Rhinolophus ferrumequinum: one gene and its partners. Each later gene encodes a partner of the first gene's protein in a complex. Links are inferred from orthologs where the notes say so. Each region holds a gene or a part of one and is shown on either strand. Other genes may lie near its edges. The genes, in order: CFB, CFP and CFD.

Region 1 (7,521 bases):
TCAGGAATGATCAACATGGCGGGGGCCCTGAGCACGGTTGCTGCTCAAAGCCCCAACCATGAGTTCAGTGTTACATGTGGACTTAAAGGCCACACACTGGTGTGAGAGGGTGGGGAGCCGGGCAGGAGAAAGGGCCCTTCTGACCATCAGTCATGAGAATGATGACGTGGCGGGTGCGGTTCCAGCCCTCAGGACGGGTGTCCCCTTCCCAGCTCATCATGCTGTACACTGCCTGGAGGGCCTTCTTGGTGTTAGTACCCGTCTTCAACTTATGGTCTATGGAAACAGAAGACATCATCACCTCATCTAGTCCTCCAAGCCTCCCTTGAACCCCAGAGGCCTACCAGCAACTGAGATCCCACCTCTTTCAACTTTCAACTTTTTCAGTTGTCACCCCACCGACTTCCCTTTGACCACAAAGCGACCCTCAGCCCCTAACAGGTTCCCACTAATGCCCGTTCCCCCAGTGACTGCTGACCAGCCATGGACTACACAATGGTCCTCCCTGCATCCCCACGTGGACTCACAACACCCCTGAACCCTGTGACCTCAAAATGAACTTCCCACCATTCCCTTACGACTTCTGACCTTCATAGCTGATTTTATTGAGCTTTTCTGTGACCCAGGCTGCGTCGCTGCTCTGTGCTTCAGACACTCTGATCAAAGTTTTGGCATCTGTGGCATACGTCACTAGACCATATTTTGGCTTCACCCCATAACTTGCCACCTGAGGGAAGCAAAGGGTCATGACACTGCAAGTAGAATACTTGAGAGAATTCAGCATCTTTGCTGAGATAGGGAAGGTCAGTAAGAGACTCAAGCGCTGACTGGTTATCTGAGGTTCACAGGGGCTGGAAAAGTCAAGAAATAGCTTCAAGGAAAGGGGAAGGACAGAATAGAACCTAGGGATTTTCTGGAACCCTGTGGCTCAGAGGGGCTAGGAACACTGGAAGCTAGTCCTGGCAGGGCAGTGAGGCACATTCAGGGTCCCCACATTCAGGGAGGGGGGGCTCCACCTTCTCAATGAAGTGTGTGAGACAATTCTTGGCCCCTGTGAAGTTGTGTGCCCCAATGCTGTCTGATCCATCCAGCACCAGGTAGATGTTCATGGAGCCTGAGGGGTCCAGGACAATCTTCCTCTTCTGTTGTTCCCCTAGGTGCCACCAGAGACGTTCAAGCTCCAGCACGCGGGCTTCTCCTGCCCCTTCTCCATCCTCCCCTTGGTTCCTTGCCCCGCCTCCCACTCTGCCTTCAGACCTGGGCTGTGGCCGTCATCAGCATCGACTCCTTCTATAGTCTCCGTCAGAGAAGACAGGAAGGCTTCAGCCACCTCTCCAGGGGTATCGTACATAAAGGAGTCTGGGAGAGGTCAGAAATCAGGTCAAATGTCTGGGAGGGTCAGGGACACAGTGACCAGAGAGAGGGGATGGTGGGTTTCCAGGGTGGGAAGGGCTCAGAAGTGAGGATGTTCTACAGGGAGGTTTAGAAATGGAAAGAGCTGGGCTGGGAGAGAGGGAGCAGACAGTGTGCCACTGTGGGAACTTGAGGTTGGGAAAGCAGTATCTGACCTGAGGGCATGGGTCAAGGGTCACCTTGGCAAGAAGGCTCTGTCCCACTCCAAGAGCCACCTTCCAGGCATGTTCGCTGATGGGAGCCACGCAGGGTGAGCCCCCGGCTGCAGTAGTAGGTGACACTGTCTTCAAGGCGGTACTGGCTGCCCACCTTCCTTGTGCCGATGGGGATGCCTGGGTTGGGGCAGTACGCCGCTGCAGAGGCATGAGACACAGAGGTGAGGGCCAAAGCTGGAGGCCCAGAGGGCCGGGCGGAGCACAGCTGTGACAGTGCCCGTTCCTCAGGCTGCAGCTCCGTCAGGGAGCGGCTACCTTGGGAGGGGAGGGGTGGCGGTGGCAAGGCTTCTCACCTCCATTGTCACAGATGGCTGTTTGCCCATCCCACCGACCGTTCGCTTGGCAGGTGCGATTGGCAGAGCCCCGGAGAGTGTAACCATCATAGCAGTGGAAAGAAAGCTGGTCACTCAGATTGTAGTAGGGGGATCGGGGCCAATAGTCCCCGTTCTCAAAGTCCTGTGGTCTTGGGCAACGAATTGCTTTGAGGAGAGGAACAAGCAGAAGTTACTGAGAGGGGAGGGCTGCCCTTTAGGGTATCCCTCCTGGTCTCGGGGTCCCTGTCACTCAAAAATGGCACCTTCTCGGTCCCACAGGGGCAGAGTCTACCTGCAGCCCCTGGAGGATCCCTCAACCTGTGGGGAGTCCCGCTGCTCCTCCCTCCCCACTCCCGAGTGTTCTTTTAACTGCCAGGGCTGCCCAGTGCTGGGTAAATGCTTAGTAAAGTTAGCTGCCTTCCTCCTTCCTCCTTCCTCCTTCCTCCTCCCTCCTTCCCACCTCCCTCCAGCCCCCGACAGCCTGCCTGGTCTCAACACACTCTAATCTCATCCTAGGCTGGACCTTGACCACCACCTGCTCCTGCCCTCTGCTGGCCCACGCCCACCCTCACTACCCTCCAACCTCTGCATTCTGCCTTCTTGACAATCTTTTGGTCTTGGGTCTGCAGGGTGCTCCAGGAGCCCGTGGATCGGCAGGTGCGAGCCTGCACAGGGTATGGGTAGAAGCCAGAGGGACAGACGTACTCCAGTGCCTGACCCTCCTTGAGAAGCCGGAAGGAGCCACCTTTGATTTCTACTCCCTCCAGAGAGCAGGGGCTTTCGGACGTCATGCTCACACCTAAAGGAACAGGCTGATGAAGCCTGGCCTGACAAGGCCAGGGAGGGGTGCTGGGGCAGCAGGAGGGGAAGCGGTGACCCTGGCTTACCTCTAGTCAAGAGACCCAGGACCAAGGACACCAGGCAGAGTCGGGGGCTGAGGTTGCTCCCCATGATGATGGAAGGCAGGAGAGAGGCTGGGCTGGAGACAGGGTGGCCTTCCCCAGCTTGCACTACGTGCTGCTTGGCTCAGTGTCCAAGCTGAAACTCTAGACCTAGGCCTGGTCACAGTCCTTTCCCCCTGCCCCTCACAACTGCCAGCGATTTATGCACTCTGTGTGCTGGCACCTGTGCTTCAGCCTGCCCGCCCTACCCACATCACTTTCCGGAATGTCCAAGAGGGAGGGCCCCACTGAGCTACCAGTCGAGGAACTAGAAACTGCACAAGCCCCACCCTTTGCCATGCAAGGTCCAGGACTCTCCCTTTCAACACCTCCTCTCTGCCACAGCTCCTCCCCAACAAGACCAGACTGCCCCCTTACAGACCAGAAATAAGGCCCCAGCTCCCCCCACCCCCGTTGAGTGTTACGGAGCAGAGTCCAGCCACTGTTTGTCCAGCAGGGTCTCTGACCTGCCTCCTGCAGTTCCTGGAATCATTCCTGCTTCCCCACCCCCCAGGCAGAGGCACAGACAGATGTGGAAATCACTGATTTTTATTAATTTCATAAGTGGGGAATTCCATGTGAAAGTGAAAGGAGAGTGAGTCACGTTAAGCTGAGGGTGGGCACTGGGTGAGGATGGGTCTGGGGACAGACATTCAGAGGTAGGACATGGGACAGATGGCAGGCCCCACAGGACAGCAGAGGGCTCAGTGGGCATGATTAGAGGGGCAAAAAGTCCAGGACACCCTCCAGGTGCTGCCTCAACCAGGGCTGCAGGCGGAAGAGACTGATGTGGAAGTCTCGCGGCGGTGGGACGTTGCCCCTGGGGGCTTTCTTGCGGGAGTTTTTATTGGTGCTGCTACAGGGGTTGTAGAGACCCCAGCTCACCAGGCCCACCTAGAAGAAGGCAAGAATGGGACAGGAGGCTGCCACAGCCCCAGCTCCAAGCCCCAACCTCCCTGTGTCCTCCAAAGGCCTCCCTCATCCCCCACAAGGCCAAGATCCTACCACCCCAGTCCTGTGAGCTTCTCCCTTCTCTCCTCACCTGAAAAAACCTGAATCTCCGCTCAAGGAAAACTGCTCCTCCGGATTCTCCTGCAGAAAGAAGGGACAAGAGACTGTCACCCAACTCTCCTCTGCTCCCCTGTCATGGAGGCAGTGCAGTGTCCTGGCCTGCGTGCTGGCCACAGGTGGCCTTCCCCTCAGGAATCCAGGCGCCAGAGTTGAGGCTGGGTGGGAGGCGCTCACCTTTGCAGGGATTGTCATCTTCCCCGGTCCCACTGCATAGGAACTGGTCTGTTACCACCTCTCTGACATCTGTTAAATTGGGGAACATTTTCTTGTCTTGGGAGACGACCTCGATACAGCTTGCCCACTGCAGTAAGGGAGGAACAGGAGAGAAGAATGGAATGAGCAGGCCCCGGGCATTCCAGCTAGGCCTTGGAGCAGGAGTGACTCGGGCTCAGACGGAGAAAGCAGCCGGAGCTGGAGGAGGCCAACAGACATTCTAGTAGACGCCCCGGGGGAATCCCATCGCCCACAGCCTCCCAGGCCTGGGACCCTCACCTCCATCCCTGTCTTGAGGTTAATGTTCAGTGTGTCCCCGTTCAAGGCCGCAAAATGAGCAGGAACGCTCAGTTTGTTCAGAAGTTCGTTCTCTGCAGTCAAGGAGAAGGGGAGGTTGGTGCTGGTCCCTTTACCCTGACTTGGGGACGGCAGCACAGCTCGTGTAGTCACCCCCAAGCCCAGGTCCCAGCTCCTCACACATCTGAAGCCCCAGCGCTCACCGTGCTCTCGGCAGGTGCTGCCTGGGGGTCTCCGCAGGGCCAGATTGGCCCCCACCGTACAGGGAAGGCAGATGGGCCTGGGGAGAAGGGCGAGGGTCACACAGGCCCATCCTTGGTTCCCCACTTCTCGGGGGCTCCCCGGAGCATTCTACCCCAGAGGACACCCTCCCACCCACAGGCTGGGACCTGGCATGGGTGGACATCTTCACTTTCTGGGCCAGCTTTAGCAGCGCAATGTCATCAGCATAGAACTCCAGGATTCCCTGAGGCTTCTTGGCAAAGACATTGAACTCCGAGGAGATTACCACCTTCTCAATTTGGAAGTCTTTGCCCCACTGGGAGTTGGGATCCCCTAGAAACAATACGGCAGATTAGGCTGGACCAGGGCTCCTAAAGGGCCCAGAGACTAGGGACAAGGTGTGGGAGCTCTGGCCGTGCGGTCAGGAACCTGGTAGGGGCCCTGTCTCACCCACGTTGACCCTCCACAGGGAACGGTCCTCGTCGGCATGGCGGAAGCAGTGAGCGGCAGTCAGGACCCACTGGTCTGAGATGAGGGAGCCGCGGCAGGTCTCCTGGCTCTTAGGCTACAGGAGAACAGACGATCTTCAGGGCCTGCTGTGTCTCTGGCCCATGGCCACTTTCACCTCTGGGATCCAAGCCCCGTCCCTCCTTCCTGTTACCTTGATAGTGACATGCCAGGGTGTTCTCTCCTGGGCAGAGGCATTAGCTGACATGTTTCCCACCCCACATATGGTGTCTATGAGCTGGGAGACATCTGCAGGTGTGAGGAGCAGACGGGGAAGGATGCAGGTGAGGGGCGCTGGGAACAGGTTCTCCAGCTGTGCCCCTGGCTGGCTCCGGACTGCCTCCCCAGTCTGGAGAGGGCGGACGAAGCTCACTCACCCAGCATGTGCTCAAAGACCTGGTACAGAGCCTGTGTGTCCTGCAGGATGAAGGCATGCCTCTCGCCGTCCTTCTTGGAGCCCAGTTCATTCAGTTCTCTCCAGTCCACATCCAGCTTGCCCACCCCGATGGCATAGATGTCTGATGGGGAGGAGGAAATCACCAGAACTGTGGGTGTGGCTGGGGGCTACCCCGTGAGACAGGAGGCTGTGATTTGGAACTCACTGGGTCCTACAAAGCCCTAATGAGCTGGAACCTCCACCCACACACCTCTCTGGCTTCATTTTCTACCACTCCTTGCCCTTCCCTCTTCCAGCCACATAACCTTCTTGAAGTTCCTCGAATTTGCAGGTGCTCTTACCTCAGGCCTTTGGCACAAGCCACGCCTCTGCCTGGCTCCCTCACCCCGCAGACTTCCCACATGGCTCACTTTCTTACCTTTTTAAGTCTTGACTCAAATGTCATTGTCTCAGCCAGTCCTTCCCTGGCCTTGTTGTCTAAAATGGCAATGCCCCAGACACTTCCATTCCTGCCTGCTTCATTTTATACCTTAGCACATGTCACTAGCTACCGTGACATGCGGGCTCCTTATTTATCTTATTTAATGCCAACAGTGGGTAGAACTGTTTCCCCCGGAGGATATGTTCAAGTCCTAAACCTCAGAACCTGTGAATGTGCCCTTGTTTGGAAATAGGGTCTTTGAGGACGTGATCAAGTTAAGATGAGTTCACACTGGATTAGGGTGGGCCCTGATCTGAGGCCCGTGTCCTTCTAAGGGGATTTGGGACACAGACATAGAGAGAATGCTGTGGGACAACCCAGAGAGGCACTGAGGGAAGAAAGGGATGCAAAGACAGAGTCAGAGCCTGGGTGACCCTGCTACAAGCCGGGGACGGCCTAGGGTCACCAGAAGCTGGAAGAGTGAGAAAAAATTCTTGCCTAGAGGCTCCAGAGGGAGCAGGGCCCTGCTGACTCCTTGGTTTTGGACTTTTAGCCTCCTGAATGTGAGAGAATGGATTCCTGTTGTTTTGAGCCACCCAGGTTTGCATAAATGGTTGTACCAGCCCGAGCAAACTAGTGCATTGGCCCCTCCAGAATGGCATCCCCATGCAAGTAGGCATTTTTGTCTGTTTCATTTATAGCTCTATCCTTCGAATGCTGCTTAGCCCAGAAGAGACTCTCAGAAGATCTTTTAAATGACTGAATGAATAAAAAGAACTCTGAACATAACATGGAGGAAAAACTTCAGATTTGGTCTTCCTCTGTAACATGCAGGCTCTGGCAGAGGAGCCTGGAGCCACCTCTTCCCACTGGAAAATCTGGGCTCACAACAACCAACCAGGCCCAGCCTCTCCGTGAGTGTGCGTGCCAGCCAGAACCGCCCTGCAGTGGCCCACAGAGTCTGCCGTCTCCCACACTTTGCATAAGGAGTCGCGGCCTTTTTGCTCCCAGAGGGCCCTGTGTTGTGTGTAAGGAGTGAGATGCTCAGAAGTCTTCCCTCAGGAAGCAACTCGCACTGGCCAGGATGGAGCAGTTGCAGTAGGTGCTAGACAATTATCCTGCCCCTGTGTTTTCTTTAACTATTTCCCTTCAGTTTCTGCTTCTTTTTTAAAAAGTGTTTTTGAGCATTTAATCCTGGCCCAGTGATGCTAAGGAGTTAGGGAATGGAGTTTGGGTTTTGCTTTTCTCGGGCCAGAGTTTTAAAGAAGAATCTGCTTTCCACTGAGGGGCAGTTTGGGGTAGGACAGAAAAGAAAGGACCCAAGGGGAAAGTGAGACTTGGGAGTTCAAAGCCAGCTGCCCTTCCTTATCTGCGGCGCTCTCTCTGAAATTCTTTTCTGGTCAAAAGTCAGTGCAATTTTTATTTACTCTGAACCCCAGGAATTGTTCTTTTGGAGTCTGCAACTGCCGAAGCCTTAGTTAGTTATCTGTACTGCCAAGAGGGGAAATGC
Region 2 (7,132 bases), on another chromosome or scaffold:
AGAAAGCATGATGGTGTGTGTCAGACACAGGAGTAGAGACTGCAGATTGGTAACCAGGTATGAAAAAGAAACTGTGGAGAGCTGTGTGTGTGTGTGTGTGTGTGTGTGTGTGTGTGAGATCATGTGAGAGAGGGGAAGTTGTAACCACAAACTTGACATTGTGTCTGTGAGAAATTGTGGTTGTGTGTCAGGAAATCACTGTAGAAATGAATGATTAAGGTACTGTACAGTAAACTAGTGCTGTGTGTGAAACAATGTTTACGAGAAGGTCGTGGGGACTGCAAACCAGTCACTGCTTGACAGGCTACTGGTGAGCGAGACAGACTGAGTGATCAAAACAACAAGGTGTGAGAGCCTGTGGGCATGAAAGTGTGGTAGATAGAGCTTGTCGGGCACTGTGTGTAGGTGAGAAACTTCCCTGTACGTAAGCAGGTGACTCAGTGTTGGGAGATGAATTGTGTATGACACTGTTCATGCAAGTCATATCAACTAAAGTCATGGGAGCACATGTGTGAGAAGTGAATTGTATGAGGAAAAAAAATGACTGTGAAGCCAAATTTGTGCCTGAGACACAAAATACGAGAACACGTGATTGTGTGTATGAAAACTGTTCATGTGAGACTAGCAAAGACTGTGTGAGAAAGTGAGAAAAACATGGTGGTGCCTGGGACAGTATGAGAGGCTGTAATTATGTGTGTGTATACCTGAGAGTAGCGGCAAACTGATTTACAGTTACTCCTCCAGTCTAGCCCCACAGGTTCAGGGACTGTGAAAGTGTGAGAGAAAATGATGGTGAGACTGAGTGACTGAAACGGTCCACGAGACCGCATAACTGGGAGTAAGAGATGATAAGTAACAATACAAAGTCAGCGTTGCGTAAGAAAGTTGATGACTGAGCAGTACATGAGAGTGTGTGGGTCTGCAAAACATTTCATAAGACTAACTCAGAGGCTATATGTTTGTGAAAAACTGAGAATATGAGACTGGGAGACCACGTGATCGTTGTGTGTGAAAAACTGGTGAGGCTGTAATTGTGTTTGTACATGATCAGCTGACTGTATGAGGAAAATGATGGTGTAAGATGGGCCGTGAGAGACTGTGTGTATAAAATGTATTGAGAGCCTAGTAGCAATTGTGAACTAGTGACCACAGATGTCAGAAACTGACTGAGGGAAAGTGATCATGCCACTGAATGGGTGACTGAGAGAGTGTCTGAGCAACTGATTGTAGGGGTCTGTGTAGAACTCTTTGCAAGAGACTTCAATAAAGGCCATAAATCAAGGACTGGTATGTTGGAAGCTACTTGAGAAGAAATGTGAGACTAGGCGACTCAGACAGTGTCTGAGATACTGTGTGATTGTGTATGCATGTGAAACTCTTAGCTATATCTAATCAGACTGCGGGTATGTTAGTAATAAACGGGGACTTGAGTGTGAAGAGGTAGGAGACATGGTGATTTTGTGTGTGTACAAGGAATTTCGTGAGAAGCTAGTGGTGGCTGTAAATCAGTGACTATTTGTGTATGTAACAAAATGATGGCCTGAGTGATCGAAACATAAAAAGGTGTGAATGTTTGTGTGCATGTGAAAAACTGATTGGTAAGAGTAAATATTGGTAATACTGGCCAAGTGAGACAGGCTATAAGACATGATCATGTGTGTGAATTCTTAGGAGGAGAGGGTCATAAGACTGGGATTCAGTGACAGAGAAAATGACTCCTTGAGTGAGTGACTGAGAGAATGTCTGAGAGGCCATGTGGTCAAGTATGTATATGAGCCTGTTCGTAAGAGACTACAGTAGCGGCTGTAAATCCAGAACTGTGTAACTATATTTTAAAAAGAGAGAAAATGATCGAGACCAAATGAGACTGCATGAGAGACCACAAATCAAACGTGCCAGGCCTACGAGAAAGCCCTTTTCTGTTTGTCCTCTTTCTCTGCACATCACTCCTCGTCAGGCCCTATGCTCCACTCCTCTTAGTTCTCCAAAACTGGTAATGCTGGACTTCCCCCGGGCTTTGCCTGAGTTCCCTTCCCTCTTCTCATAAGCTCTGGTCCAGTCCTGGTACTTGAGACACTATTTATCTCCACCCCTATCATGCCCACTTTTTTACCTCCAACCCAGACAGACTCTTCCTCTTGGCACTTCACAGAATCTCTAAAGTTTTTTTATTTCATTTATTTCATTCAGCAGATGTTTATTGAGCCCTGCAGATAAAGCGGTTAACAAACCAGACAAAAATCCCTGCCCTTGTGGAACTGGTATTTGAGTGAGGGCGAGAAACAGATAAATATATCAAACAAGATGGCAGTGCAATAAGTACGTGAGACAAGACTCTCACTCTTTGTTTAAATAAGAAATCTGCACAGTCATTTTATTGCCCAAACATGTGGGAGAAGATGAAAGTGCGGACAATCCTTTTCCACAGGGAATCCTATGAGTATTTGTACAGTTTAGAAACAAAGAAGATATCAGTTATAACATTATTACCAGGGCAACGGGTGATTAGATAAAGCAGCCAACCAGAAGTACAGGTTTCTTGAGTATGTTTTCACAGGATAACACAGCGCTGTTGTCTAATGGCTTAGAATAACAAGACCTCTTTGTTCAAAGGAACACTTTCTGAGACAGGCTTTTGTTATCAGGAAACAATATATCTGAATGTCAACACACCTTATCGTCCATAAAACAAGATTAATATTCTTGAGAAAGTTCTGTTTTAATGTTAAACCTGACCCAATCAATTTCTTTTACTTTGTTTTAATTTGCAGAATGGTATTTTTCCTTCCGTGAATGCAAGGGAAATGACATTGCATTTGTTAGACTCCTTGTTGTTATTCTTAAAGTCTTGTTGTTAAAGCAGCTCTGAAATTTCACTCATTAGGGCTTATAAAAAGATAGTAGGTCCACGGAGCTCAGTTTTACCTGCATGGAAAATGGGTTTTATTAACAGTAAAATAGGTTTTCTCCATGAGACCTACAAAAGAAGAGAGGGGTCAGGGACTAGAATGATGGTTCTTAAAGTGTGGTCTCCAGACAAGCAGCATCACTGTCACCTGGGAACCTGTTCAAAATACACATTTTTGAGCCCCACCCTAGACCCACAGAATCAGAAATCAGAAGTGGGGGTGCGGCCCAGCAGCTTGGGATTTAACCAACCTTCCAGATGATTCTGATGCACAATAACGTTTGAGAGCCCCTGGGCTAGAGCGTGATGGGGTGCTATACAAAAAGGGTAGTTGGGCAGGCCTCTGTGAGAGAGGGGACATTTATTATCTATCTCCGTTTAGAGCGTAAGCCTTGAAGGCCAGGATTTGGAGCTGTCTTGTTCTCTGCTCCATCCAATGCTGAGAACAGCATCTGGCACCCGTAGGTGCTCAATAAATGTTGAATAAGTGTATTTCACAAAAAGTATGTACTACATGCCAGGCAGTGTGCTAAGGACTTCAAAAAATCTGAACTCAGAATCTTCGCAACAAACCCTATCAAAGATGTCACCTGCCCAAGTTACACTGATAGAACATGACCTGACCGGTGCCTTCCCAACTACCCCCTCCCAGGCACTGAAGATGTCCCCAGCAGGGCCCCTGGGACTGGATATCCCCAATTCACTCACAAATCCTCCACTCATTCACTTCCCCTTCTCACTTCCCTTGTGCTGACATCCCTTCCCCTTGCTGACACAGGGGACCTCCCTTTCAGGAAAGAGGGTGGGTTAAGTCAGGATGGAGGATGAAGCAATTACTTCAACGCCTTCTCCACCCCATGAGGATGGACATACTGAGCGTGCCACACTCATTTCACCCTATTCAACGTCCCCATGAGGTTGACTCTGTCGTGGTAGAGGGTGTGCATTTTACAGGTGAAGAAACAGCCTCAGAGAGGTTCAAGTGACTTGCCTAAGGTCACACACAGCTAGAAAGTTTGTCTTGCTCCAAACTCCTTGGCTCCATTTTCCCTCAGTAAGAATTTGTACAGAGAGCATTGATTGAGTGCTGAAAGGTTGCTAGGTGGGGCTTGGGGTGCCGGGGTTACAGTGATAAACACAGCACGATCAAGAGTGAGACAGGAAGTAGAGAGGGGAGAGTAGAGGAGGTGGCTCATGGGCAGAGGTGACAAGGGAGTGATGGGAGCCGAGGAGACCTGCCCAATGCTCCCCTCCCCCCTGCTACCCTTTGCCCTCCCAGTTCCTCCTGCCCCTGGTTCCTCTTTTTCCACTGACTCCCAGAACAGGTCAGCTCATAAAGCCAGGCCACCTCTCTGGTGAGGCTGCAGGGGCACCGCTCAGTATGCCCGCCCCAGCGCAGGCCTCTTGGTTGCTGTTCCCGCCGCTACTGCTGCTGCTGACCCTGCCATCCACAGGTGAGTAGGCGAGGGTCCAGTTGGCCCCTCAGGCCCACCATACCCTTGACCGTGCCCTCCTCCCCTTCCCTTTTACAGGCTCAGACCCTGTACTCTGCTTTACCCAGTATGAGGAATCCTCGGGCAAGTGCAAGGGCCTCCTGGGGGGAGGTGTCCGTGTGGAAGACTGCTGTCTCAACAGTGCCTACGCCTTCCAGGAGCCAGACAGCAAGCTCTGTCAGGCATGCAGGTTAGGGGGAGCCTGGGGTTAGGGGGAGGCAGGAAGGACTGTCTGTGTGACAGCCCAGAACTGGACTCTTTCCTTCTCTGGAATTTCCAAGGGTGGCTCAACGGGCCTGATCATGACCATAGCTCAGGGTTTCTCAGTCTCAACTCTATTGACATTTAGGGCCAGAAAATTATTATTGAGAGGGCTGACCTGTGCATTGCAGGGTGTTTTTTGGAATCCCCGACCTCCCACTAGATGCCAGTAGTGACTCCCCGCACCAGTTGCAGCAACCAAAGTGTCTCTAGAAATTGCCACATGTCCCCTAGGGTACAAAATCACCCCTGGTTGAAGAGTAGCATAGCTTACGTGTATTGAGCATTTCCTGCATACTGGAAGCATTGTGGGTGGGGTGCAGCTCTAGTATTTCTGAAGGTGGCTCAAGTTCTCTAATTGTGATGACAGCTCATATTGACTGCTTACTGTATACAGATGCATTGTGGAGATGGGAGAGTTTGGGGAATTCTGAGGGCAGCTGCAGGCCTCTAATTGTGATGACACATCGTATCCAGTGAGCACTTTCGGCATACCAGATGTATTGCCGAGGTCGGGGACAGCTGGCGGATTTCTGAGGGTAGCTCTAGTCTCCTAATCGTGATGCCAGCTTACATGTATTGAGCGTTTACTGTATGCCAGACATACTTCCTAACTGCTTACTGTATATCCCAGATACACCATGAGGCTGGAGAGCTTCGGGAGCTTTTTGAAGGCAGCTCTGTGCCCCTTGTCATGTCGTCAGTTCACATCTATTTAGCATTATGCTGTGCAGATCTGGGGTATTTCTTATGGGGTCTCTGAGCTCATTGGGATGATGGCTCCTATTTATTAAGCACTTCCTGTTTGCATGATGGTGGCCTGACAACAATTCTGGGCCCCTAATCCAAGGACAGTGCACACCTGGCACTGTCCTTGGGGGTACTTAAAAGGGTAGCTCCAGGTCCCTGATCGTGAAAGTAAGTGATGAGTACTTACTGTGTACCCACCTCTCCCCATTCAGTCCCCCAACATCCCTAATAGGCAGGTACCCTCATCAATCCATTCTGCACATACTTACCCGACACCCCCGCTGATGCCTGCCCATGCTTTGCAGTCGCACACACCATCCTGGCCAGCTCGTGCCAGGGTGGGACATGTGCTCCTCTCTACAGGTCCCCACAATGGTCGCCGTGGTCCCCGTGGGACCCCTGCTCAGTGACCTGCACTGAGGGCTCCCAGCTTCGGCACCGGCGCTGCATAGGCTGGGGTGGGCAGTGCTCTGAGAAGGTGGACCCTGGGACCCTCGAGTGGCAGCTGCAGGCCTGTGAGATCCAGCCATGCTGTCCTGGTAAGGAGGATCGGCAAGGCAGATGTGCACTGCCTGTCACCGGCTCTGGGAACGAGCAGGGCAGAGGCCCCGAGGGTGGGACTGTGCCTGATATTTGTGAAGCTCTGAGGAGGAGGCAAGCGGGGCTGGAGGAAAGTGGTGGGCAGTGAGGTCGTAGGAGATCTTGATCCTCGTGGGCCACAGTGAGGACATTGGCTTTTATTCTGAGTGATACGGGTTGTGGGCGGAGGATAAATGTGATCGGACTTGGCCTGTGACCTCCTCACTGTCAAGAGGACAGACTGTGGTGAGGGGTGAAGCAGAAGGACCAGTGTGAAGGTTACTGCGACAGTCCAGATGAGCAATGATGGTAGAACAGGTGTGACAGAGGATGTGGGGATAGGATTAGCTAATGTGGGGCATATGAGAAAGCGAGGATCCCTGAATGACACCCCCACCTCTATCCTGTCCCCCTCTCTTCTCTTCCACAGAGATAGGTGGCTGGTCTGACTGGGGGCCCTGGGCACCTTGCTCTGTCACCTGCTCCAAAGGGACCCAGACCCGTCGTCGAACATGTGATAACCCCACCCCGAAGTGTGGGGGCCACTGTCCAGGAGAAGCACAGGAATCAAAGGCCTGTGACACGCAGCAGGTCTGCCCCAGTGAGTGAGGGCAACCACAGGGCACTGATGCAGGTACCCAGGGTGGGTCTGCAGGTTACAGCAGGGAACTGCCAGCGTGGGAGGACTTCAGCAGCGTGACCACACTTGGCTTCTCCCTACCCCACCCCATCACAGCACATGGGGCCTGGGCTGCTTGGAGCCCCTGGGGCGCCTGCTCGGGCTCCTGCCACGGTGGACCCAGCGCACCTGTGGAGAGACGAAGCCGCACGTGTTCTGCACCTGCACCCTCCACAAATCCTCCTGGGAAGCCATGCCCAGGGCCAGCCTATGAGCAGAGAGGCTGCAGTGGCCTGCCACCCTGCCCAGGTACACAGGCATGAGGCCTCTGACACTCTGCTCTTGATTCGGGCACAGATGCTCTGCCATTTCAGGGGATAGAGATCTTAGACCATGTGACCATGGAGCTCTTTGTTTGGGGGTGGTCTGCCTCGGGGGTCTAAGGGCTGAGGGGGGAGACTGAGATGGCCTTTCTCCTCACTCCTATCCCTCTCAACAGTGGCTGGGGCCTGGGGGCCATGG
Region 3 (7,066 bases), on another chromosome or scaffold:
TGCGTGGCCTCTTCACCCTCATGGGGAGGTGATGGCTGGGATGGGGAGACCTGTTTCCAGAGAAAGAGACCGAGGTCCAGAGTGGTGAAGAGCCCAGAGTTTGAACTGGGGCATCACTGGGCATGCTCTGGGGACTGCAAAGCCAAATTAAATCCAGATCTAGCTGTGCCCTGGCAGGGGGCAGTAGGAGGCCCCCTATCTCTCTGTGCCTCAGTTTCCTCATCTGGCACATGAAGAGCCCTGATCTGTGGGTTCCTGGTGAGAGTTCAAGGGCTGACTGGCTCAGCAGGTGGGGCTCCTGCGTGGCACTCACTACCCCCGCCTCCACGTATCCCCAGGTCCCGCGCTAGCCTCTGAGATCGTGGGTGGTCGGCAGGCCCAGCCCCACGCATGGCCCTTCATGGTGTCTCTGCAGCGGCAAGGAGGCCACTTCTGCGGTGGCACCCTGGTGGCCCCGAACTTTGTCATGTCGGCCGCGCACTGTGTGAACGGCATGTGAGTGATCGCCTTCCCTGCCCTCGCCACCCCGTGTGTCTTCCCTTCTCAGACCCTCTGTTTCCACATCTGTCAAAGGGGGAGAGTGAGACCAGGGCCCAGGCTCCTCCAGGGGTCCCCCATGAACGCATCTCCCCTACCAGGCCCAAGTGGGGGCGTTCAGCCAATGAGCCCAAGCATCTGCCCAGGGTGGCGATGCTACCCCTGGGTGTAGAGCCGGGCTTGGCTGAGCTCTGGAGTCTCTCAGCTACCCCCAACGCCTGGGGCCACCTCGAATCACCTCCTGCACCCATTTTGCCTATAGAAACTTCCAGAGGGTGCGGGCGGTGCTGGGGGCACACAACCTGGGGCAGCGTGAGCCCACCCAACAGTCGTTTGCCATCCAGCAAGTCTTTGAAAATGGCTTCGACCCCGAGAGGCTGCTGAACGACATCGTGATTCTGAAGGTGCAAGGCCAGTGGGGTGGGAAGTGATGCCCAGGCAGGGGACCGGCAGGTGCAAAGGCCCAGGGCCAAAGGCTTGGAAAGGGCAGAGACAGAGCGGAAACACTGGAGGTCACATGCGGCTCTAACTTGATAGTTCGTCTCTGTGCCTCAGTTTCCACTCATGTAACCTGGGGAAACAAGCCCCTCCTGGCAAAGCTGTTGAGAGAGTGAACGAGAAGACACAGAGAGATCTAGACACAGAGAGATCTAGTTGTCAATCAACAAAATGTTATGATTATTTGTGTTTGATGGCCCTGTGCCCAGGGACTGTTCCTGCCTTTGTGAAATGGCAAAATTCCCCACATCTGGGCTGAAGGGAAACTGGAGGGAGAAACCCTCCCTTCCCCACTGCTGGCAGAGTTATGATTATTCTCTGGAATGTTTTAGAATACGGTTTCGTTGTCATTGGTGTTGCCCATAGCTTGTTATATTGAGTATGTATGTTTACTCCTCTCAATACACATCCAGGGACGCCCTGAGCCACTGTTGTTGTTCCTATTTCAGAGATGGGAAAACTGAGACTGAGGGTGGGGAGCATCTCACTGGGTGGGCAGCCTACTCCGTAAAATCCCAGAACCATGGTGGGACCTTATGTGGGGAAATTGAGGCCCAGAAAGGGGAGGGCCGGTGCCCACCTCCCTGTGTGACTCTCCTGTCCTCTGCCCTGCCCACTACAGCTCAATGGGTCAGCCACCATCAATGCCAATGTGCAGGTGGCCCAGCTGCCCGATCAGGACCAAGGCGTGGGCAATGGGGTGCAGTGCCTAGCCATGGGCTGGGGCCGGTTGGGCACCAACCGGCCACCACCCAGAGTCCTGCAGGAGCTCAACGTGACCGTGGTAACATCCCTCTGCCGCCCCACAAATGTGTGCACAATGGTGCCTCGCCGGCGGGCAGGCATCTGCTTCGTAAGTACCCGCATCCCCTCACCACTCCACCCTCACTCCTGCCCAGACTGCAGCAAGTGGAACTGCAGCCAGACCCTGGGAAAGACTTCCCAACTCTGAAGGGCAGTGGGTGGGGAGCCCCGGAAGCCCAGCCTCCCCACCTAGTCTGGCTCCACACACAGGGGGACTCCGGTGGGCCTCTTGTCTGCAACGGGCTGATCCATGGGATTGACTCCTTCATCCGGGGAAGCTGTGGCTCCGGCTTGTACCCAGACGCCTTTGCCCCCGTCGCGCAGTTTGCCGACTGGATCAACTCCATCATTCGCAGCCCCGGTGACCAGCCCCATCTCCACCCCAGGGACCCTGCAAGCAGGATCCGCTAGAAGGGGCTGGCCCTGTCACCCCACCTCACCTGCCCCTGGCTGGGGCCTTCCCACGCTCCGTTATGCAGCATCTGGCACAATAAAAACCCTCTGTTTTGTAGACTGTGTCTTGGTGTTGGTTGTGTAATTGGGCGTTGAAAGCAGTCATGAGAGCATCTTGGGAATCTCACGAGTATGAGCATTGGAGTAAGTTCCTTCTCCACCCTCCACAAAGAATGCCAGTTGCCATTTCTGGTTTCCCTCATGTAAAACCGGGTTTTGTGTGATTAAATTAGCATTGCACGTGGTGATGACACAAAGCACTGTAGCAGGTGTTCGTTGAGTGCTTACCAGGTGCAGGAATCATTCTCAGTCTTTGCAAGTGTTCGCTCATCCAGCCCTCTGAGGCTCCAGCCCTTGTGGCCGGTCCCGTCAGTGCCCTGTTTTACAGAGCAAGAGAGGTGAAGCCCTGTTCGGGAGCCTGGCTTTGAGTCCAAGCTCTAACTTTGGGCAACTTGCTCACTGTCTCTGAGCCTCCGTTTCCCTGCGGGGAGGAGTGAGGTGCTGTATGGTAAGGGGGGTTGGGGTCTCATTGGGTGACACAGACGAGCCCTCCTTCACCTCCCCAGCATTTTACTCTGCCAAAGGGGGAAGGGCAGAGCAGATGATTTCCAAGGCATCCCCCAGACCAGATGGAAGTTGCAGCCCTGAAAGAGGGGACCAGCCTGTACCCCTCTTCTACCTTCCTGGGGCCACAGGCAGGGACCACAACAGATATGGCCTCTGCCATCACGCAGCTCACAGTCTGACAGTGGGGGAAGAAACAATCACTTAAGCAAGCAAATAGAGAAATACCATCAGGTAATGCTGTCCCCCACACACGCCATGAGTTTGGGATGAATCTCCTCTCCCCTCTCTGTCCCCTGGCCCCCAATACCTTCCCGCTGGAGCTCAGAAGCCTAGGTCCCCCTCAGGGCCTTTGCTTTGGCTGTCCCCTCTGCCTGACTGCTCTTCCCGCAGGGTGTCCCCTTATCCCACCTCTCCAAGGAACAGCTGCTCAGAAATGTGACCATCTGCCATGCAATTGCTTTTTCCACTCAATACTATACGCAGGCAGTCTTTCCACATCCACATGACATCTGGGGACCATCAGGGTTATTTATTGAACCGCCCCATCTTCCAGGGTGGTTTCCAAATTTTGTTGCAATTTTAAACACTCTTACTCACATAATTTGGACCTCATATCCTCATGGGCATTTGTTCAGAACTGATTTTAATAAGGAAATATGTTAGGATCTAACAGATCACATGTTATTTTCTAATTTTTTCTGTATGTATGAAATAATCCGCTGTGAGGAAGGAAAAAAAAAGGGGAAAGTATTGTGTACTGTTCCCACTGGGGTCATATGAGGTCCATCCCCCCCTTCTGGTCCCATCACCCCCCCCCAATAGGTACATGAGATGTTGATCCCCCATCCCCACCTTACAGAGAGGGTCATGTGACCCGAGTTCTGCTCATCAGAACCTGCCATCCCCTGCCTGCAGTGACTGGTTTGGGAGGGGGCATGTGATCCAAACTCAGCCAATCAGAGACAGCCTGGAGACACTGGCTGGAGTGATGGGGAATTGCGGAGGGGGGGCACTGAGCCACTGGGCTGAGTCTGGGGCCTCTGAGGCCACAACGCTGGAGCCTGGTTAGGAGAAAAGCCATCAAGGAGGAAGGAGAAACCAGAGACAGCGGCCTGACATTGTTCAAGGCACCTGGATCAAGCCACACCTAAAGGCAGACACTGAACTTTCCATTTAAATTTCCTTGTTGAAGGCACAGTCTTTCCACTTGCCCCTACACACCACCTTTCTAATGTCCTGCTTGTTGGGGTATCAGGCTCCAGAGCTGCAGCAATGGGACAAGGGTGTGGGGTGACCTTCCTCCTACCCCCTCCAAGCTGGAAAAGGAAGAGAGAAAAGGGAGGAGCAAAAAAATGAGGAAGTGGGTTGTTTATAAACCGTGGCCTCCAGCTGCTGTTTCGAAACCTGGGGCTGGAGGGGTGCTCTGGGGGCGTGGGTGTGGGTTGTCCCTTCGCCCTGCTTCTGCCCACCCTAAGGGGCTGCTCACCACACCAGAGCCAACCCTGGGCTGCTCACCACACCAGAGCCAACCCTGGGCCAGGTGCACGGAGGCAGGAGGCACCCCTTGTGGTGCAAAGTACAGCAGGAGAGAACCCCACCCAGAGGAGAGTGAAGCGGGCCGGCGGGGGCGGGCTTTTCTTTCCTAGCTGGGTGACTGCCCACCCAGCAGACAGGGCCTGTGGCAGCCACCACCCCCTCCACCCTCATAAGAGTGTCCCAGGACCCCGCCTGAATCAGTGTGGCGGTAACAGCAGCATCATGGCAAACCTCTCAGTGCACCTGGCGGCTCTGATCCTCCTAGGAGCAGCTCTATGCGGTGAGTGAACCTGTAACTGGAGTGGACCAGCTAGGGGCCACCCGCCTACAGAGCAGTCAGCCAGGGACCCCCTCTGTCACACAGGACTGTCTCCCAGCCCCTCTCGGTGGGCAGAAGGGGTCAGTGTCCTTGTGAATGGAAGACTCTGAAAGTCCAGGAATTCTCAAAACTTGGATCTGAAATGCGCAGTTCTACAGTGGAAACTGGCGGCCGGCGGGCCGAACAGGCCAGCAGGAGTGTTGGTCCTGTCAGCTCCACTTTTCTTGGGACTTTTCTTAGGTTTAAATAGAACCCGTGCTGCTCATTGTGTGTGACGGAATGTGCCCCAGACCCTGGCATTCCCTATCCTTCCCAGGCCCCCAGGCATCTGAGCTTGCGACGCTGGGGTGTGGGGATCCAGGGATGGAATTCCAGGTCTGAGGCGGGTAGAGCGGCCTGGGGTGTGGAAACGGCGTCTGTGGGCTGGGCTGCAGGCATCCCCTACGTCCTCACGCGCTTGTTGCCCATCCCCAGCGGCGCAGCCCCGCGGCCGAATCCTGGGCGGCAGAGAGGCCAACTCCCACCAACGGCCTTACATGGCCTCGGTGCAGGTGAATGGCAAACACGTGTGCGGCGGCTTCCTGGTGGCCGAGCAGTGGGTATTGAGCGCAGCGCATTGCCTGGAGGACGTGTGAGTGGCCTGGACGAGGGTGCGGGGCTATAGAGTGGGGGAGGGGTTGGAGTGCGGACCTTGCTCTGACGTGGACTCTACCCCACTCCCAGGGCCGACGGGAAGGTGCAGGTGCTCCTGGGCGCGCACTCGCTGTCGCAGAGGGAACCCTTTAAGCGCCTGTACGACGTACTCCGCGCAGTGCCCCACCCGGACAGCCGGCACGACACCATCGACCATGACCTGCTCCTGCTGCAGGTCGGCCAAGTCTAGCGGCAGTTCCTCCTGCTGCATCCAACACCCCCAGACCCCAGACCTGGCGCCCGCCTCCCCCCACCAGGTCCCACCGAGTCCAGCGGTAGTCCCTCCTGCTACATGCCCCCCGGACCCCAGCCCTGACGCCCATCTCCTCCCACCTGCAGCTTTCTGAGAAGGCAGAGCTGGGCCCAGCTGTGCAGCCCCTGCCCTGGCAGCGAGAGGACCGCGACGTGGCCGCTCGCACGCTCTGCGACGTGGCCGGCTGGGGCGTGGTTAGCCACACGGGCCGCCAGCCCGACCGCCTGCAGTACCTGACCCTGCGGGTGATGGACCGAGACACCTGCAACCTGCGCAGGTATCACGACGGCACCATCACGGAGCGCATGATGTGCGCAGAGAGCAACCGCCGGGACACCTGCAAGGTGCGGAGTGGGGCGGAGCCAGCAGAAGGGCGGGGCTGCATGGAGGGCGGGGCCAATCGAAGGGGCCGAGCTGAGAGCTGGGAAGGCGGGGCCTTGGTGGGTGGGGCCTGCAGTGGTGGGCAGGGCCTGGGCAGATTGATGCGAGAGAGGGCAGGTTGAGGCCAGGGGGAGGAACAGGAACTGCAGTGGCGGAGCTCCAGGTGAACACAGGAGAACAGGAGGGCCTGCGGAGGTGCACCAGCCCTCACGGCCCTGTCCCATGCAGGGCGACTCCGGAGGCCCGCTGGTATGCGGGGGCGTCGCCGAGGGCGTAGTCACCTCCGGATCCCGCGTGTGCGGCAACCCCAAGAAGCCGGGCATATACACGCGCGTGGCGAGCTACGCGGCCTGGATCGATGGTGTGATGGCTGGGGCTGAGGCCGCCTGAGGAGGACCTGAGGGCCTGGAGTCACCAGGAAGCAATAAAGTCACCCACTTCTGCATCCCGTCAGACTTTATTTTTTGTTTCTATTTTGTTTGTTCATTTATTAGGTTGGTGCAAACGTAATTGCAGTTTAAAAGGTTAAAAATAATTGCAAAAACCGCAATTACGTTTACACCAACCTAATATTTTGTTCTTTAGATTCCACATACGTATAAGTGAGGTCATATGGTATTTATCTTTATCTGACTTACTTCACTCAGCATAATACCATCTAGGTCCATCCATGTTGCCACAAATGGCAAGATTTTGTTCTTTTCTTATGATTGAATAATATTTCACTATATATGTGTGTGTGTGTATATATATATATATATATAGAGAGAGAGAGAGAGAGACAGAGAGAGAGGAGAGAGCTCCAACAAAACAAATGCATACAATTTTAAGAAAGGAAAAAACTATTAAAATTACACGGATGGTAACCACTTCGAGCACCTCTTGTAATTGCAGAAGTCAAACATGACTTGTATTCATCTTTTGTTATCGGTATATATTGTGTATTACAATTTTAATACAGTTTTTTCCTTTCTTAAAATGTGTATACTTTTTTTGGCTTTCTCTCTCTCTCTCTCTCTCTCTCT

The links.
Region 2: the proteins of CFB (region 1) and CFP are in contact, whole or in part, in a crystal structure (PDB 7NOZ), measured with the Homo sapiens proteins. The link is inferred for Rhinolophus ferrumequinum from reciprocal best matches to the Homo sapiens genes CFB and CFP. Residues at the interface, in NP_001701.2 of Homo sapiens: Glu54, Gln56, Ser78, Thr316, Tyr317, Leu349, Ser351, Met394; in NP_001138724.1 of Homo sapiens: Arg329, Arg330, Asn331, Lys333, Pro341, Met420, Val421.
Region 3: the proteins of CFB (region 1) and CFD are in contact, whole or in part, in a crystal structure (PDB 2XWB), measured with the Homo sapiens proteins. The link is inferred for Rhinolophus ferrumequinum from reciprocal best matches to the Homo sapiens genes CFB and CFD. Residues at the interface, in NP_001701.2 of Homo sapiens: Glu298, Ala301, Ser302, Ala332, Asp333, Ile469, Asp470, Glu471, Ser472, Glu518, Tyr519, Lys585, Asp758, Glu759, Asp760; in NP_001919.2 of Homo sapiens: Asn157, His158, Ala159, Gly160, Arg161, Arg162, Arg182, Thr183, Asp186, Arg200, Val228, Cys229, Gly230, Asn231, Arg232, Lys233.

What each region holds. Positions count from the first base shown.
Region 1 is NC_046286.1:2,395,242-2,402,762, reverse strand, and holds the start of CFB (complement factor B), read right to left. Parts: upstream 3,098-7,521; 5' UTR 2,894-3,097; coding exon 2,830-2,893; intron 2,742-2,829; coding exon 2,526-2,741; intron 2,108-2,525; coding exon 1,922-2,107; intron 1,767-1,921; coding exon 1,593-1,766; intron 1,360-1,592; coding exon 1,258-1,359; intron 1,154-1,257; coding exon 1,017-1,153; intron 728-1,016; coding exon 589-727; intron 277-588; coding exon 145-276; intron 1-144. Other genes in the region: complement C2, read right to left, coding at 3,601-3,777, 3,926-3,975, 4,129-4,255, 4,447-4,538, 4,668-4,744, 4,854-5,019, 5,137-5,251, 5,348-5,442 and 1 more.
Region 2 is NC_046284.1:86,352,016-86,359,147, forward strand, and holds the start of CFP (properdin), read left to right. Parts: upstream 1-4,072; 5' UTR 4,073-4,289; coding exon 4,290-4,362; intron 4,363-4,440; coding exon 4,441-4,591; intron 4,592-5,775; coding exon 5,776-5,951; intron 5,952-6,421; coding exon 6,422-6,592; intron 6,593-6,727; coding exon 6,728-6,919; intron 6,920-7,109; coding exon 7,110-7,132. UniProt on the Homo sapiens protein: A positive regulator of the alternate pathway (AP) of complement. It binds to and stabilizes the C3- and C5-convertase enzyme complexes. Inhibits CFI-CFH mediated degradation of Complement C3 beta chain (C3b).
Region 3 is NC_046301.1:62,053,477-62,060,542, reverse strand, and holds CFD (complement factor D), read left to right. Parts: upstream 1-4,379; 5' UTR 4,380-4,617; coding exon 4,618-4,675; intron 4,676-5,188; coding exon 5,189-5,345; intron 5,346-5,437; coding exon 5,438-5,582; intron 5,583-5,746; coding exon 5,747-6,004; intron 6,005-6,269; coding exon 6,270-6,431; 3' UTR 6,432-6,494; downstream 6,495-7,066. Other genes in the region: ELANE (neutrophil elastase), read left to right, coding at 339-495, 800-941, 1,658-1,888, 2,050-2,250.